3 linked regions of the Arabidopsis thaliana genome follow. The protein of the gene in region 1 interacts with the protein of each later gene in a pairwise test. Each region holds a gene or a part of one and is shown on either strand. Other genes may lie near its edges.

Region 1 (5,232 bases):
TTTTATCATCATTATAGATCAACACTTTTTGTCCGAATCTAACGAAAGATGAAACGATGTTTGTTTATGAACCTCGTTATAAGTGTAACGGTCACGGACCAAAACGACATCATAATAGTACATTTCCCATCACTCCATATATCAACTCGTGCCAAGCAACTACTTACCCTCTTTCAAACTTACTAAATATACTGGTATACATTAGATGTCGATAATCTCTATCATGCAGGGACTGTTTTGATCCTTAAAACGTGAGATTTGTTTTCAAATATATCACCTCAAGCTTACCAAAAATAATGTAGACAAATCAAGGATAAGCAAATGTATATTTAACCGAATTCAAATCCGCATATCACATGTTTTATTAAAAAAATTGTATATCCATTGAAAGTTCTAAGCGAATCTAAGGCCAAAGATCAAAACACGCATGTACGGATCTCCACTCTTAACTCCTTCTAAACTACTGTAGACGTTCAAGACGAAAAAATATCTATATAAAAATTTAAATAGTTAATTTCAAGGTTTTTTTTTTGTTGATAAAATTTAATTTTAAGGTTCTATATGAAACCTAGGATAAAATCATTTTTCAACAATTTAAAGTGTAATGTGGCGGAAATGACAGTAACATAGTTACAAAACATAGTCTAATATTGTTGGACCAAAGAAACAACTATATAACAACCATTACATAATATATGGTAGTTGAAAAAATTAACACAACCGGTAATTAATACACAAAAGTATAATAAAGTTAACCTCAATTTAAATATCTTATGTTTTCTTCGGTTTTACTTAAAAACCATTTTCCAACTCTCCGTCAGTATTCGCTGACGACATGTAACTCACGACAAGAGACGTCTCATCAGCCGTAGCCGCCGGAACCGCAACTGCTTGAAACTGTCCTTTACATGTTTGACAAGTGACCTGCATGATCGTTGAACTTATCTTCTTCATAGATTGTTCCTTTAAAAACTTAGCTCTCTCGAGTTCAGCTTGTGCTTTTTGCCTAATCTTTTTGGCATTTGCAAACTCGTTTTCCGCTATCTCTCGTTGCCTCTTGGCTTCTCTTTTAGCTTCCTCAGCGTAAGCTTTCTCCTTCATCGCTATCTTCATAATTTGCTCGCTCGCCATAATCTCTTTTATACGATCAAAGTTGTTGTAATGTTGATATGATGATGATGGTGCAATGGAGAGGTTTAAGTTTGTGGTATCATGATTATGATTATGATGATGAGATGGTTCTTTAACTTTTTGTTGTTGGTTTTCTTGATTAGGGTTTTGATTCGACGATAATGGAAGAAGTTGGAGTTCGAGGTTGAGATTGTTTGATGAGTTGGTGAGAATTGAAGATGAGATTCTCTGATGAATTGGACGGCCTTCTAGAGGTTGAGGAGTCGTAACCGCAACTGTACCGCCGTAATTGGTTTCACTAGACGGAGTGCTGACGGTTGAGGCGGTTCTAGAAGAGCATGCCGGGACTGTTACCGCGGTTTGTGGTGGTCGAGGCGGTTCACGGTGAACTCTCCGTGCGGAACAATTATCTTGATGTTCAATAAAACTCTCCACCCTAAAAGAAGAAAAGAAACCTATCAATTACATAATTTATATGACGTAGGATTATGAAAATGTGACAAAGTTAATAATTTTATATTAAGTTTTTCTGTTTAAACGTCGTTTATTAAATACCTTTGAACTCAAAAATATATATTATTAATATGAGTTTAGGTCCAATTATAACCTTTGTGTCGAAAAAAGGTCCAATAATAACCTAAATACATAAAATATTTCTTTAGAGATTGGGGTCAATGTCATTAATCTAAGTGCTTAACTTTCTTTTTATGTCACAAAAACCAAACAAATAGTCAAGAGATATATTAAAAAACTCTGATGCATACACATCAATACACAGAATTAGTAAAAATCATGAAGGATAGTCAAATCAAATAGTACTATAACTATCAATCTTAGTCTTTGGTCCCTAGAAGAATTTTCTATATTTGTCTTTCTATATGATCTCCTAAATATACAAAACAAACAGAGTCAAATTACTTGTATATTTTAGAAATACTTAACAAATCCTTCCAAAAGTTTGCATATCTTTTCAGAATTAATAATACCAATAATTAATTTATAAAATGGGTCAAAAAAAAATCAAATGATAGAGAGGAACAAGAAATTATACCTGGAGAAGACACGACCACAGTCACAAGAATGTCCTCTAGTACCACAAGTTTTGAGATGAGCTTTGTAATCAGATTGAACAGCATAACCTTTAGAGCATCTCTCACAAACCCATTGCTTATGGTTACTATGTTTTCTTCTGAAATGTTTTTTGATGCCGACAAGATCTCCCAGAGCATGACAAGGATTATGGTGAAGGCAAGTGGGTTCAGGGCAAACATAGACTCGTTTCTTCACCTCTATGTTGTTGTCTCTTTTAAGAAGCTTCCATGGAACTTTGTGACGTCTTCTATGCATCTGGAGATTCTGGTCTCTTTGAAACCCTTGGTTACAGATCTCACATATGTATCTGTCTGATTCAAGAAGAGTTCTTGGTGATAAAGACACAACTTCTGCATCTGGATCTGAAAAGGAGATAAGGCAAAACCCATCAAAACACATGTCTTAGTTGATTAATAAAGTTGAGATTTTAAATGAGGTTTAAGAATTAAAAACAATGAAAACCCATTAATTGTACCTATAACTTTGAAACTGGCAATAAGAAAAAGAGAAATTTTAAAACTAAACCTATAATAAACCTGTATTTCTAATGGGGTTTAAGAGAAAAAAAAAACAAAAAACAATAGTACCCATGAGTTGAAAATTTTCATAAGAAAATAAAAACAAGAAAAAAAGATTTTGAAAAATAAATTTTCTGTAGTGGGGATTTATTATTACCTGGGGTACCTGCAGGTCTTCTTTTCCTCTTCTGAGTGGATGTGTTTGTGGTGGTGACCCCATTTTCTGAAGAGGAGAGGAAAGGATCAGAAGAAGAAGAAGAAACCACACAACATGTGTTTGTGTTCTTGTTGGACAACATCACTTGATCTGTTCTCATCAATTACTCTACTTTTCTTGATCTTTCTTTTTGACTTTATTGTATTTGGATTCTAGAGATTGATTTGATGAAAGAACAAGGCCCAAAGACCAAAAAAAAAAAAAAATGAAAGAAGAAGAGATAGTGGGAGATTCAGCTTTACAAAGAAGAGGAAGGGTGATAAAGAGAGATATAGGGGGAGAGAAAAAGTTCTTTTAAGCTTTCTGCAACAAAGGCTTTTCAAAACTTTTTCTTAGGCTCTTCAAAGTTTCTCTTATGTTAATATGATGAAAGCTTTTTAATTTTCTTGAGTCTCTCTCTCTCTAGCTCTCTCTTTGGGTATATATTTTGACTCTTCTTCAAAAACCTATTTCTCTCTCATACACTTGAGAGTTGAGAGCAAATAAGGGGTCTTTGATGTCTATATTGCTTCTACTTATAAAGCTCATTGCACTATGCCATCATTGCGTAAAATGTATACATACACTCGTGTAGCTAGAGAGAGAGAGAGAGAAGGTGGTGTATTTATTTAGATTTAGATGTAGATTTTAGATTTTTCTTTTTGTTATTTTGTATTTATTTTTTAGACTTTGTTTCTTTGAGCATGTTGGATATATGAATTTTTTGGCTTGGACCCATATCTTGTCTGATTGATGAATTTGTCTGATTTTCTTGAACCTTCACAAACTATTTTTTTTTTTTTTTTTGAAACATTTTATTTTATGTTTGAGATTATCTACATGAGTTTCTTCTAACAAATGAAAAAAAAAAATATATGAGATCATACGTCCACATGTAAGGCTTGCCTTTCATCAAAATATTATGCAGGTTAGAGGCTTAAAATAGCAATAGTTGTATTGTATCTGCAAATTAGGAGAGAATTTATGAATATCGATACGGTGCTAACTCTTAGATGATGTAAGAAGCAATTAAATAATAAGGTTAAGATACTTCATTACTTCTAATTAACTTTTTGACTGTCACTCTCAAGTCCTATAAATAGTGTGATTATACATCACTAATACATCTTGCGTTTCATTATTGTTAAAGCAATCCAATAATATATAGACAATTTAAGAAAAATTGTCATTGTTAACTATATATGAATGTTATGTCATCATGTTTCCAACGTTGGTCCACATACATGTTAAGATTCTTTTCGAATTACACTTGGAAACAAGGAGAGAAAAAAAAAGGTATATGGTTCTTGTGAATAATCCAAGGATAAAAATGCATTATTGCATTAAATACCAAATTCTGTAAGTTTACAATAATGCAGACAAACTATTATTTTTTCTTTCTATTTGGCTTATATAATGGATGTACTAGTGCCCATACATAGTTAGGGGAAGAAAAAAGACAAATATATCAAATTATACATGCGTATAAAAATAATTCAAACCAAGAGTAAATGTGAAAGTAGTATTAGTATGTTTTTATAAAACCCTATTTTAGTAAAATTCATATTCGATCCCTCGCGCACGTGACCTTATGTCTTACTCACGTGACCTCTTTTTCCCTCCACTCTCCACTGTCGATTCCTTTTAGGCTATTGCCTTTCTTCTCAGTCATTCCTTAAGAAGGTTCATTAACAGATCTAAGAATGTTACTGGATCAAGAATGAAATGAATCTTATATGAAAACATTTTTTTTTTTTTGATGGAACTCATATGTAGACTACCAAAATTAATCATTATTATGGTTTAAATTTTCTCAATCATAAGTTTTGTTACTTTAACACATTTTCTCTGTTTCAATTATGGTTTAAATTTTCTCAATCATAAGTTTTGTTACTTTAACACATTTTCTCTGTTTCAATTGTAAATGCCATATGTATTCCTTCCTTAGCTTGATCGCTATTCGCTACTAGTTGTTTTTATTTTTGTTATTGCCGAATAATAAATTAATTTGCAGATAAAAGAAACAAAAGATACCTCATAATGTTTTTTGTCAGTTGTCAAAAATTGGTTCTAAATGGACCGAAAGGAAAAACAGAACAAATTAGACGAGAAGATGTGATCGAGTTACTACGGTGACAGCTTTGTATAAAGGAAAGAAATGAGATCGTGTTTGTAATCATTTCCTAAGATGAGATTACTCTCCCATCTCTTACTTAACCCTTTGCTTATCGATTATTACCACTGATTAGATCTTTTCTAGCTGATACATAATGCATGATATTTATTTCGGAGCTA
Region 2 (4,310 bases), on another chromosome or scaffold:
TCCAAACACAACGTTCTCAATCACCCAACCCAACCAAAATCTCAATCACTCATCATCAACTGACTATCATCAGATGGAACAACCGTTGTGGATCGATCCTGGCAAGACCAATTCTGCTGGTTCTAGTTCTTGTAAAGGAAAAGGAACATCCACGGTTGATCTACTGCAACTGTCATCACATCTTCAAAGAATCGAGCAACAGAGGAATTACACTGGTGATGTGAAGCAGGAATATAATGAGCTTTATTTCCCTGGCTCCTAATAAAAGGTTACAACATTCTTATTCCTTTAAACCGGTTCGAGTTTCTTGAGATTGTTCTGCAGAAGGACAAGACAAGCCTGCATGGCTTGATTAGTTTGTGATTAGATAGAGGAATTAAGAGGATCAGATCATGTTACACGTATTATTGTAATTTGTAACTGTTGTGTTATTATTCACCAGTCAATAATGTTCTGAAGAAAATTGCTTCAGATATCTATGCCTACTTCCTTTTCACAGCGTTACAGACAATTTGTATATATACATGTAATGAATATTCGCTGAAAAAGTGAATTTTTACTTTTGTTTTGTTTTGTTCTGTACACTCACGTCATCTGAGGACTGATCTGAGATTCTCGAGTTCGAAGTTACGATGTTGAAAGTTGCAAATCATTGGGGAAAAGAAAAAGTGTCCCAGATGGAATTAAGGAATACGCATATAAAATTTTGATAGGATTAAGACAAATAAAGACCAGACATAAACGTCCAAAGGGACATAGCAAGTGACGTTACTTTCAAATCTAAAGACAGACAGAAATATAAAGTCATAAAAACTAAGGCAACATCATTTTCTGCAACATGACATACATAAGAAAATTACACAGAAGAACAACACAAGATGAGAAAAACGACGCAGCCACTCGCACACGTGCATGCGTTTGTTATTTTTAGGCTTCTTTTCCCCTGAGTTTTGTTCACTTCTTCTCACCGAATCCCAAGCCCTAATTGAACAAAACATTTTAAATCTTTATATAATGTATATAAATATGTCCTTATGCAGACTTAGTTTGTATAGCTTACATGGATCATGTTGTGGCCTCCGGAAGTAATGGAAGTAGGAGAGTTGGGTATGTACTTAGCCCACTGTTTGTGACATTTTTCATTTACACAAACGAAATTGTGAAAAAATAATATTAAAGGTGACAACAATGGTTGGTAACAAAAAGAGACTTGTCTTACATTTTTGGCAGCAGCACTGAAAGCTTCACGGTGTGGTATTTCCGGATTGGCACTTTTGATGCGTTGGATCTCATCCCTTTTTATATTTTGTTTCAAAAAAAGATGAAGAAGAGTACTAAATTATATTTATTTTTTATGCATTAAATTTCATAATTAACTTGGAACTAAAGAGTATATGTCAAAGGTTAAACCTCATGAAGCGGTTGTATGCAGATGGGAGCCTCTGCTTCTTCTCAGGAGCTACAATACCAAAGATGTTCAACAGATAATCATATATATGTAGATAGTGATTAAGTTTATAGAAGAAAAAGGAGTCAGAAATGGTAATAAGCTTAATTACGTTTGACGACAAAGGGAGGTGAGGGAGATGGGGGCTGGTCGCTGGAGGTGGAGGAAGAGGAAGAAGAAGAGCTTCCCTTCTTATAGTCACTTCCACCAAAGCTCTGCATCTGCTTAGTTAAAACAAAGATTGGCTTAGTATCAGTTTTTTGTATAAAAAGAATTATACTCGTATGTATAACTATAACACAAGTGTTATATACCTGAAGGGTGAGGCTAACATGGCCTTGAAGAGGAGGAGTTGTGGTGAGAAACGAGAGGTTACCACAATGGCCGCATTTCACCGTTACCGTGTCAAGCATTCTCTTCAATGGTATCCCAACCTATATATGTGTGTAGATTCGGTTTACAAATTAGCTCGAAAATTTGAAGAAATATATATATATATAACATAAACAACAATATGTATAGCTTAGCATGTATGTGATATTATCAACATATATAGGGTCATGCAAGTATATATATGCTTATATATCTTCTTATATGTAGGTAATAATTTACCGCGAGGATGGTGTTGCAGATGCTACACCGGACGTAGTAGAGATGTTCGGCTTGAGGGGAAGCCCTTGAAGCCGTCATGGTTGGTTTCTCTTCTAGGTTCATGGTCTTTAGCGAATGGATTGAAAACCGCTCTTGAAAGAAAGAGAGAGAGAGAAAGAATCAGAAGAACTTTGTAGAGTTAGGGTTATGCTTATTTTATGAGTTAGGAGGCTTGTATTTATAGAACAATCATAGTGAGACCATGACATATATATATATAGAGAGAGAGAGAGAGCGATACAGATTGTCAAAGTGTTGGACGTGTATATGCAGTCCATAATTGCATTTTTATTGTTTATTTTAACAACATTTAATATCATCTTATCAAAAAAAAAAAAAATGAATATCTTAAACTAATGACTTCTGGTGTAGACACGAGTTTCTAATGGTGACATTATGTGTTTTCTTTTTTTTTTCGTTCTTTTTTTTTGTTAAAGACATTATGTGTTTTCGTTGGATATTTACTTGCTATATATTCTATTTTGTAATCACTGTAAATGTTTTAAAAGATAAAACAAATTGGATCAACAAGTTCGATGATATTAATCTACGTTTCCGCATAAAATTTCTCTGGATATAAAGAAGGAAAAAAAATGATATCATTAAGCTGGCTAGGGATTGCAAGAAAAATTACAAATGTATATTAAACTGATATTTAGAAAAAAGATAGAAGAATTTAATGTAAAAACAAACTTTTTAACAAAAGTAATTTTATGTCAAATCATATATATGAATTAAATTAAAGGGACCGGATCTAGGGGTTTATGACTTTTATCTATGTTGCTACTATTGCAGATGATATAGTACATGCCTCCCTCTGCAAAATCTTGCAGACGTATTTAATTTTGCTTCAAAAATATCAAGACCCTAAATGTCACTCCTCGTACATTAGTTTTTGCTAAAATAAGCTGTGTTGGACATTATTCAACCATGTCTTCGTATAAATATGATTTATAATTAACAATACACCTTAATCATGTGTAATAAAAATAATAACTATTAACTTATCCAAAATTACTCAAGAGAGTGAAAACAATCAATCCAATTAATACTTTCGTAGAATAAATATTTTCAAACAAGCATATACATATGGTGTAAGATACCATTGGTTTAAGATCGATATATCTATGTTTTCACTTTATATTCACTAGCCTCTACATCGTACAGATATTAATTATGACACATATGCGATGCAAAAAGACAAAAATAGATGACCAATTAAGATATTAAAATTATATATTAAACAATACATGGTGTGAATATGATTACATTTATTCAAGTTTGATGCCAGCAAGCCTTGACTTGCCCACATGTTATAAATTAAGAATGGTCCTTTCCTGATCTTTTGATCAGTTTTTTTTTTTTTTGTTTCTCTCATAAAATTTTCACGCAAAATGATTTCACTGCAAAACTGAGGACAAAACTTGTCATGATTCACAACTTTTTTCTTCATCGTGAAATTTTCACTCAATTGCATTAATAAGTTAAATATAAAAATCGTTTAACTGTAGAGAAACAACCAAAACAATGGATCTTCTTCAGAACATCCAACTATACATACATTGGACTCAAAAGCAGAATCTCTTGATTTGCCACTTATATTTATTTTTTTTGTTAAAGGATTTACTTTATGTTTAAGGATGTTTTCTACACTGCACTACAAATTTTCTGTTTGAGGTTATGAGGGTTAACATATATATAAAAGTTAAGTTCTCTATACTGCTGGATTCTGAGTTATGTATAATCATTTTGACATGAGACAAACTATTAGTCCAATCCATAAAAAGAGTGATAACTCATCAACATAGCTTTTTGGGAGCTATACACGCTTTATTGTTGAAATTTGAGACAGAACAAGCATATATATTTGTTGGCATACTAATTATAGAGAAGATGGATTAAGAAGTGTGGGCTTTGAGTTAAATCAAAATCAATTTAAAAAAAATATATTCAAAAAGAGAAACTTGAAAAGATAGTGAAGAAAGGAGGAGCTATAGGATGGATTCCATCTTTTGTGCATGCACTGCCCCCACAGGGAAATTGGAAGGAGACAAGTGATCAATCACACGTCTCTTTCAGTGACTAACTTTTTTGCATTCTTCACTTTCCTTAGATTTCCTACTTCGACACACATATTTAGCTTACTTACAATTTTATTTGATTAGAGTTTTCCTCTCAATGTTAGAACCAATATATACATACATTGAAGTTT
Region 3 (7,449 bases), on another chromosome or scaffold:
ACAGTTTCTCACTTGAAAGGATTATTGGCCTAGACCAACATGAAGCAGAGCGAAACCACTCGCCATCTACCAGTTTGTGACGAATGTAACTTAAGATATCTAACTTCACACACATGCTATAAAAGAAGCAAAAACTTAAATCATGTTGTGTCATGTGAAAAAAGAATTTTACTGTTCTTGTTTAAGCAATTTGGAACGACTAATGTCTTTGTTCGTAGTTCAACGTTAAGGTGAGATATAATATAACTCTTATCGGATGGGTGAAACCCACTAGGAAGTTTTGTGACTTAGCTAAGATCAAGTCTTGGTTTCTCAAGAAGATTGCTTGGAACTTGGCCCGGTTAGACTATAGTTTTGTATGATTCTAAAACACAGGAAACAAACATATATAAGTATATAACAATCTCAATGGTCTGGCATGTGATTCGGAGAAGGTTCAGGGTTTAGGTAAGGTCAGAGAGCAGAAGGTGTTGACCCTCTGGTCCGGCCGGAGATCAAAAACGAAGAGCGAGTCAAAGAGAGGTCCTTTGACCTTTTCTCTCTCCGTTAATTCCATTGCGGCTGACGTGGGAATTTCATGCCTATATGGCCCAGCAACGAGACCTGGCTCATGATCAGGCCCATTATTTTCGAAAATCTTCTATTGGACACTCCACATTATATCATCTTGATTGGGTTACAAAACAAATATATTATTTATGTGAAATGTAAAATAAAATAAAAAAATTGCAAGTAACATGTATATCATTATATATTGATACTTTTATAAGAAAAAAATGTATATATGGATACCAGCTAGCTTCACACATCACTACATAGCATCACACACATCACTACCTAGGCATTTGCCCACTTTAGACCTCACAATAATTATTTCTTATGATCTCATAGTGAATCAATCACATTTTTACAAACACAAATAATAAGATACATGCTCTATTGCTCTTGAGAGAGGCACAAAAAGAGATATGCTGCTGAATTCCATATATCATAATGAGCTATGATTCTATGAATAAACCTTTTATTTTCTTCCACTTTATCGTTTGTTCTCGCTTTTTTTTTTCCCCTTTGTTTGTTCAAAGCATGCTCGTGCCTCCGAAGTTTTGATTTCATGTGGTCACCATATATAAAGAAATAGTTCCTTTTATCTTCTCAAATTAAAGAAATAGTTCTTTCTTCTCTCTTTGATATTTTTATTCACACTTTCAAACACGTCTCCTTTGTGGCAGACCACCCAAAAGTTCAAAAGCCTTACTATTACTTATTTTTATTATTATTGATACCAACTAATAATGACTATAAACCATCAACAATAAGTTTTTAGTTGTTGCAATAAAACTGCACAACCTCGAGGTGGGAGTGGGACAATATCTTTTCAGTTCCGGTACGCCCAAGTTAGCAAATCGGCACCACCAGTGAGGAGCGCAAATTAGCACTATGTCGCTAGAAAAACATTTCAATATATATATATATATATATATATATTTGTCTAAAAACATTTCAATATATAAACAATCAAAAATGTAAACGAAAAATTAAAAACGTTTCAATTATACATTCTTTGGACATTAATAAGAAAGATCATTTATGTCTAATACTCTAATCCCAAGTACGAATTTGTTTTTTTCTTTTCTTACAATTTAAACTAGAAATACAAAATAAAAATAAAATAAAGGGTTTTTATTTGTGAGTCGAATGAAATAACGAAAATACCCCTGATCTCTTTTGTGCCTGAGATTGATTTCAAAACGCTGCTTCTTCTTCTTCTCTGATCTCTCCTCTTCTTCGGATCGTCTTTTACTTTGTGAACGATGGACCAACAACCGGAGAGGCGAGAAGGCCGGAGTTTTCCGGAGCGTAAAGGACAGAAGCGGAAGCTAGAGGAAGGAGCCGCCGCCGTAGAAGATCGAGAGATCTCTGCCGTCAGCACCGACGGAGGCCAAGCGCTTCTTAGCGAGGTTGCTGCTCAAGTCTCGGTACTAAACTCTGCCTTCTCTTGGCAAGAGTCCGATCGCGCTGCTGCCAAGCGAGCCACTCAAGTTCTGGCTGAGCTAGCCAAAAACGGTGAAAATCAGCTTCCGATCTTACTCCTTTTTCTCCGGTTTCTTCATATTTTGTTGCATGACTAGTGACCTTTGATGTTCAGCAGAGGATTTAGTGAACGTGATTGTCGACGGAGGTGCTGTTCCAGCTCTTATGACGCATCTACAGGCGCCACCATACAACGACGGGGACTTGGCTGAGAAGCCGTACGAACACGAAGTTGAGAAGGGAAGCGCTTTTGCGCTTGGTCTTCTTGCTATTAAGGTTGTGATCCTCATTTTCTCTATGTCAGCTCCTTGTATAGTGTGTTTAGCTTGTTAGAAAGTAGTTTCCTTTTTTGTTTTGTTGATCCAAATCAATTTTTTTTAAGGCAAAATTTTGGTAATTGAACTCTTATACACGGAGGGGATTATGTATTGTTTGTGTGATCGTGTTGTGGAATTGATTTCTTAACAGCCAGAGTATCAGAAACTGATAGTAGACAAAGGTGCCTTACCTCATTTAGTGAATTTGTTGAAGAGAAACAAAGATGGTTCTAGCTCTCGAGCTGTGAATAGTGTTATCAGAAGAGCGGCTGATGCCATCACCAATCTTGCTCATGAGAACAGCAGTATCAAGACCCGTGTTAGGTCAGCATATTTAAGTGGTTTTCTCCTTTCGAGATTTGTTTTCAGTACAACTCTATCCTCTTGACTTCCAGTTTGACAAACAGGGTAGAAGGCGGTATTCCACCTCTCGTGGAGTTGCTTGAATTTTCTGATTCAAAGGTCCAGAGAGCAGCAGCAGGGGCATTGAGAACCCTTGCATTTAAAAATGATGATAACAAGAATCAGGTAAATATTGCTATCTTACAGCTTCTACTTAGATTTAGCCGGAGCATGATAATTATTTTCTTTGCAGATAGTTGAATGCAATGCTCTTCCCACACTTATTCTAATGCTAGGATCAGAGGATGCTGCTATACATTATGAAGCGGTTAGGAATCTTTTTATAATCAACTGTTTTGCTACTTATTTATCTATGTGGGATTGACGTTGAAATAACCAGTTGAGTCATGCTTTTTAAGGTTGGAGTTATAGGCAATCTAGTACACTCGTCTCCACACATTAAAAAAGAGGTTCTTACTGCCGGGGCGTTGCAACCTGTCATTGGTCTTCTTAGGTATGTGGACCCTCACCATTTTGATATACATGGTTGATGGTTCAGCATAGAGTTGTTATGACTTTGGCTAGAGCTGAAATCTTACCAGCTTCTCTATTGTTGAGGTTTTTATTTCGCTGTTAACCCCAAGTTCATTCTTTTGATTTCTTGAATTTTTCTTTTACAGCTCCTGTTGCCCTGAGAGTCAAAGAGAGGCGGCTTTATTACTTGGGCAGTTTGCCTCAACTGATTCTGATTGTAAGGTACAATTTCATCCCAGGTTTTTTTATCCTCAGCTCTTTTTCCATTCCCGAAAGCCTTATATCTTTTTTTGTTTGGTTATACGAAGTGATAAGTTGTTTGTTTCTGTTGATTTGTAGAACATACCTTCCCATTTCTCACTAATTCTACCATTTTCCCTGATTTATATAGGTTTGTTTTGTTCATTCTTCACTTCATGCTCAAATTATAACTTTGCAGGTGCACATTGTGCAAAGGGGTGCTGTCCGTCCTTTAATTGAGATGCTTCAGTCCCCGGATGTCCAGTTGAAGGAAATGTCGGCCTTTGCACTGGGTAGATTGGCACAGGTTCTTCTTTTAAAACTTTTGGTAGTTCGGTTATGAAAGTGTACGCATTCCCATTTGAGTGTTGTGAAATAGTAACTTCACGCTTTAGATGTTACCTCTTCTTACTTCCAGATCAAACATTTGATACCACAACTGTTATTAATTTGTAGCTTTTGTTTCTTAGTGTTTTCAAATAATTCCTAGTGATCCTGGATAATTTGCTGTTGCCTTGATTGTCAACTGTTTTCTTATTGGTTACTTCAAGATTGGTTTGATTTTAAATTTATAGATGCTAAAAAAGCTGGCTTCCATGGTTGTGGAAGATGGGTATTCTTATTGTGTTTCTAAATCTGTTTTCATTAGGGGGAACTTTTAAGTAGTGAGTTATATTAAATAATAAAACCGATGTGTCTTTTGATTTCTAGCATACTCTTTCTTGCAGGATGCCCACAATCAAGCTGGTATTGCCCATAGTGGTGGTTTAGGACCTTTATTGAAGCTTCTCGATTCAAGAAATGGATCATTGCAACACAATGCTGCATTTGCTCTTTATGGCCTTGCCGATAATGAGGTGTGCTGTATGCTACTTTCGGTTTATTCATTATGCAGAATTTGATGGTAAACGTCGGTAAATGGGTTATTGATCCATTTTTCTTCCCCTAGGATAATGTGTCAGATTTTATCAGGGTGGGAGGTATCCAAAAGCTACAGGATGGAGAGTTTATTGTTCAAGTATGTATGGCGTTGCCACTCTTCCTCTACTTTACAGAACCACATTGTCATACTCCTTTATTGGCTAGATACTGAAGTTTCTTAGCAGCTTTAATCGTATTTTTTTACTCTTCCCCTTAAGGTGTTTATAATATATCATGATTTTTTAGGCAACTAAAGATTGTGTTTCCAAAACACTAAAGAGATTGGAGGAGAAGATTCATGGAAGAGTAAGTGAAACTATACTTTTCTTTAATTCTTTTTTTTTTTCCATCTTTGATGACTAAAACTGCTTTATCCTGGTTGAGTTTCTGAAGCTCTGTTGAAGTTTAGCATTTCTTTATTCAACCTTTGAGATTTCTGTGCTTTGATTTTCTTTTGTAGGTTCTGAGACATCTGTTGTACCTAATGCGCATTTCAGAGAAGTCTATCCAAAGACGAGTTGCTCTTGCCCTTGCTCATCTCTGTTCACCCGAGGATCAACGAACCATATTCATAGATGACAACGGCATGTGACAGTTTTTTTATATTTTCATGAGCTAAATGAGATGCATGCGTTATGTTTAATGCGTTAACCGTCCAGTTTAGATGTTCTTTGTCCAAAAAGTTAATATTGAGTTGTCTTTTGACAGGGTTGGAGTTGCTACTCGGTCTTCTTGGTTCTTTAAACACTAAGCAGCAACTTGACGGTGCAGCAGCGTTGTACAAATTAGCAAATAAATCTATGGCACTTTCTCCAGTTGATGCTGCTCCTCCTTCTCCAACACAAAGGGTGAGTTTCCTTTCTGCTTCAGTTCTCCTATAGGTAACGGGTGGAAGTCTCAATGCAGTATTCTGTATGTCTTTTTGTGACAGGTTTATCTCGGAGAGCAATATGTAAATAATGCTACGCTGTCTGATGTAACCTTTCTAGTCGAAGGTAATCATATATAAATCCAGAAGTTGTGGAACTCTAGTTAGCTTCAAAGTCCATATGTAAAACAGAAAAATCATACTGCAGGAAGGACATTCTATGCACACAGAATTTGTCTGCTGGCATCCTCAGATGCATTTCGTGCAATGTTTGATGGTGGTTACAGAGTAAGTGAACTAAATATTTTGGTTTTTCGATAATGTTCTTGTGGGGTAAATGATATTTTGATGACAATGACGTATGGATGTATGCTGGTCTGCTATTTATCAAAGGAATACAATTATCTTTTGGGGAAATTAGACCTGAATTGTGTCACGGTTTGTGTTTCGTTTATATCACAGGAAAAAGACGCTAGAGATATTGAGATTCCAAATATCAAATGGGAGGTGTTTGAGTTAATGATGAGGTATGATGAATGAACCTCTGCATGCTTTTGATTGACTCACTCGAGATATTGAAATTTCGAAAAGTCTGTGAGAACTTTTCATATACACGTAATTGACTCCCTTGGATTATGATTTTCAGGTTTATATACACTGGATCTGTCGACATAACAAATGAGATATCAAAAGATCTTCTAAGAGCAGCGGATCAGTATCTCTTGGAGGGCCTGAAACGACTCTGTGAATACACAATTGCTCAGGTGAGCCAGAATTATATCACAATGTAAAGTGATGATGTGGTTTGCGTAGTACTTAACGAAATCTGACACGGTTACTTTGAATATGAAAGGATATTACGTTGGAAAGTATAGGAGACATGTACGAGCTATCAGAAGCATTCCATGCGATGTCGCTGAGGCAAGCTTGTATCATGTTCATCCTGGAGCATTTCGATAAACTGAGTTCAATGCCTTGGTAATATAAACAAGATGTCACTCTCTCTCTCCACTAAGATTTGTTTTATTGCTATTAGTCTGAAACAAAAGTGAATGGAAAATGCAGGCAGAACGAGCTGGTGCAGAGAACAATACCAGAGATAAGAGAGTACTTTTGTAGAGCCCTAACAAAGTCTACTACAAACCTGCAAAGCTTGAGGTTGTAGAATGCGGAAGAAGAAGACTGCACTTAACTAGAGGTAAGTAGACAAGGAATTATATAGAGAGAAAGAGAGAGAGAGATCAAGAGCCGCCATTAGAGGTCTTTATCGTCCTGTACTGGGTTGTCTTAGTTATTTGCTGTGCTTTTTGGTTCGTTTTGGTCATTTTGTATTGTATTAATTAATCTCCTCTGATCACAATCGGTCTTGAATGAAATCGCTACCCTTTGTATCCAAAAATACCATTGTGGTATAACTTCCACTATTCAATTCAAAATCCACTCTCCAACTATCCTCTCTGTTGAGAAAAGATACTTTGGGTAGGTTGTGACTAAGCGTAGCTGTAACGATTTGATATTGGTAGTGGTGACCAGTGAGTTCATGTCTGAATAATTAAGAGATGATTCAACACAGAACATAATATCCCATTTTTGTTTTACAAATAAAGAATCAATCGAAAGTATTACTGATGATTAGAGACTGTAACTTGTAAGTATTTTGTAGCACAAGCCACTGAAAATTACATTACACATAAAGGAGTTTTCTTTAACATGAAAGATTCAAAATTACCAGGTTGGTTCTAATTAATTACGTTTTCTTCCAAAGTGATTAATTACTCAAGTCACGATGAATTATTAACCTTTCTCTTTTTTTTTTTTTTTAAATTAGTCTATAGAGACTTTTGGTTCAACGAACGTAGGAGGGAGTTTTAAAGAGCTCCGGTGAAGGAGAAACCCTAAAAACACACTCGATTTTGCAGCCAGAGAGAGTCTCAGAGCTCCGAGATTCAGACAATCTTCATCGGTCCGGTACGCTTTTCATTTCCGTTTATTCTCATCGCAAACGGATAATTATTTGTCTGATCCGATTTTACCCTGTGATTAAGCACCGATGTTCCTTCCTCGTAGTTGGTGATTTAATGCTTCTTCTCGAAACTATCCACTTATAGGATCTCCGATCTTTACGAGATTACTCTCCTTAATCTCTGTTATTGATTTAGTCACAGCATTTTCTGATTTATCAATTAGTTATTCCTT

The links.
Region 2: the proteins of SGR5 (region 1) and CRC interact in binary tests that used the Arabidopsis thaliana proteins (3 or more experiments, as listed by UniProt).
Region 3: the proteins of SGR5 (region 1) and ARIA interact in binary tests that used the Arabidopsis thaliana proteins (3 or more experiments, as listed by UniProt).

What each region holds. Positions count from the first base shown.
Region 1 is NC_003071.7:430,478-435,709, reverse strand, and holds SGR5 (C2H2-like zinc finger protein), read right to left. Parts: upstream 3,436-5,232; 5' UTR 3,059-3,435; coding exon 2,899-3,058; intron 2,864-2,898; exon of another isoform or gene 2,699-2,863; intron 2,586-2,698; coding exon 2,199-2,585; coding exon of another isoform or gene 2,183-2,198; intron 1,587-2,182; coding exon 793-1,586; 3' UTR 633-792; downstream 1-632. UniProt on the Arabidopsis thaliana protein: Transcription factor involved in inflorescence stems gravitropism, probably by regulating starch accumulation in amyloplasts of graviperceptive cells. Required for stem circumnutation movements. Regulates lateral organ morphogenesis and gravitropic responses.
Region 2 is NC_003070.9:26,006,780-26,011,089, forward strand, and holds CRC (Plant-specific transcription factor YABBY family protein), read right to left. Parts: upstream 2,363-4,310; 5' UTR 2,162-2,362; coding exon 2,060-2,161; intron 1,882-2,059; coding exon 1,762-1,881; intron 1,669-1,761; coding exon 1,560-1,668; intron 1,460-1,559; coding exon 1,411-1,459; intron 1,296-1,410; coding exon 1,220-1,295; intron 1,124-1,219; coding exon 1,061-1,123; intron 982-1,060; coding exon 955-981; 3' UTR 571-954; downstream 1-570. Other genes in the region: AT1G69170 (Squamosa promoter-binding protein-like (SBP domain) transcription factor family protein), read left to right, coding at 1-262. UniProt on the Arabidopsis thaliana protein: Transcription factor required for the initiation of nectary development. Also involved in suppressing early radial growth of the gynoecium, in promoting its later elongation and in fusion of its carpels by regulating both cell division and expansion.
Region 3 is NC_003076.8:6,507,064-6,514,512, reverse strand, and holds ARIA (ARM repeat protein interacting with ABF2), read left to right. Parts: upstream 1-1,711; 5' UTR 1,712-1,811; coding exon 1,812-2,064; intron 2,065-2,146; coding exon of another isoform or gene 2,147-2,149; coding exon 2,150-2,307; intron 2,308-2,499; coding exon 2,500-2,672; intron 2,673-2,755; coding exon 2,756-2,876; intron 2,877-2,943; coding exon 2,944-3,018; intron 3,019-3,109; coding exon 3,110-3,204; intron 3,205-3,370; coding exon 3,371-3,446; intron 3,447-3,663; coding exon 3,664-3,771; intron 3,772-4,192; coding exon 4,193-4,321; intron 4,322-4,413; coding exon 4,414-4,482; intron 4,483-4,631; coding exon 4,632-4,691; intron 4,692-4,845; coding exon 4,846-4,969; intron 4,970-5,093; coding exon 5,094-5,233; intron 5,234-5,316; coding exon 5,317-5,380; intron 5,381-5,461; coding exon 5,462-5,541; intron 5,542-5,715; coding exon 5,716-5,780; intron 5,781-5,899; coding exon 5,900-6,017; intron 6,018-6,066; coding exon of another isoform or gene 6,067-6,106; coding exon 6,107-6,231; intron 6,232-6,318; and 3 more. UniProt on the Arabidopsis thaliana protein: May act as a substrate-specific adapter of an E3 ubiquitin-protein ligase complex (CUL3-RBX1-BTB) which mediates the ubiquitination and subsequent proteasomal degradation of target proteins.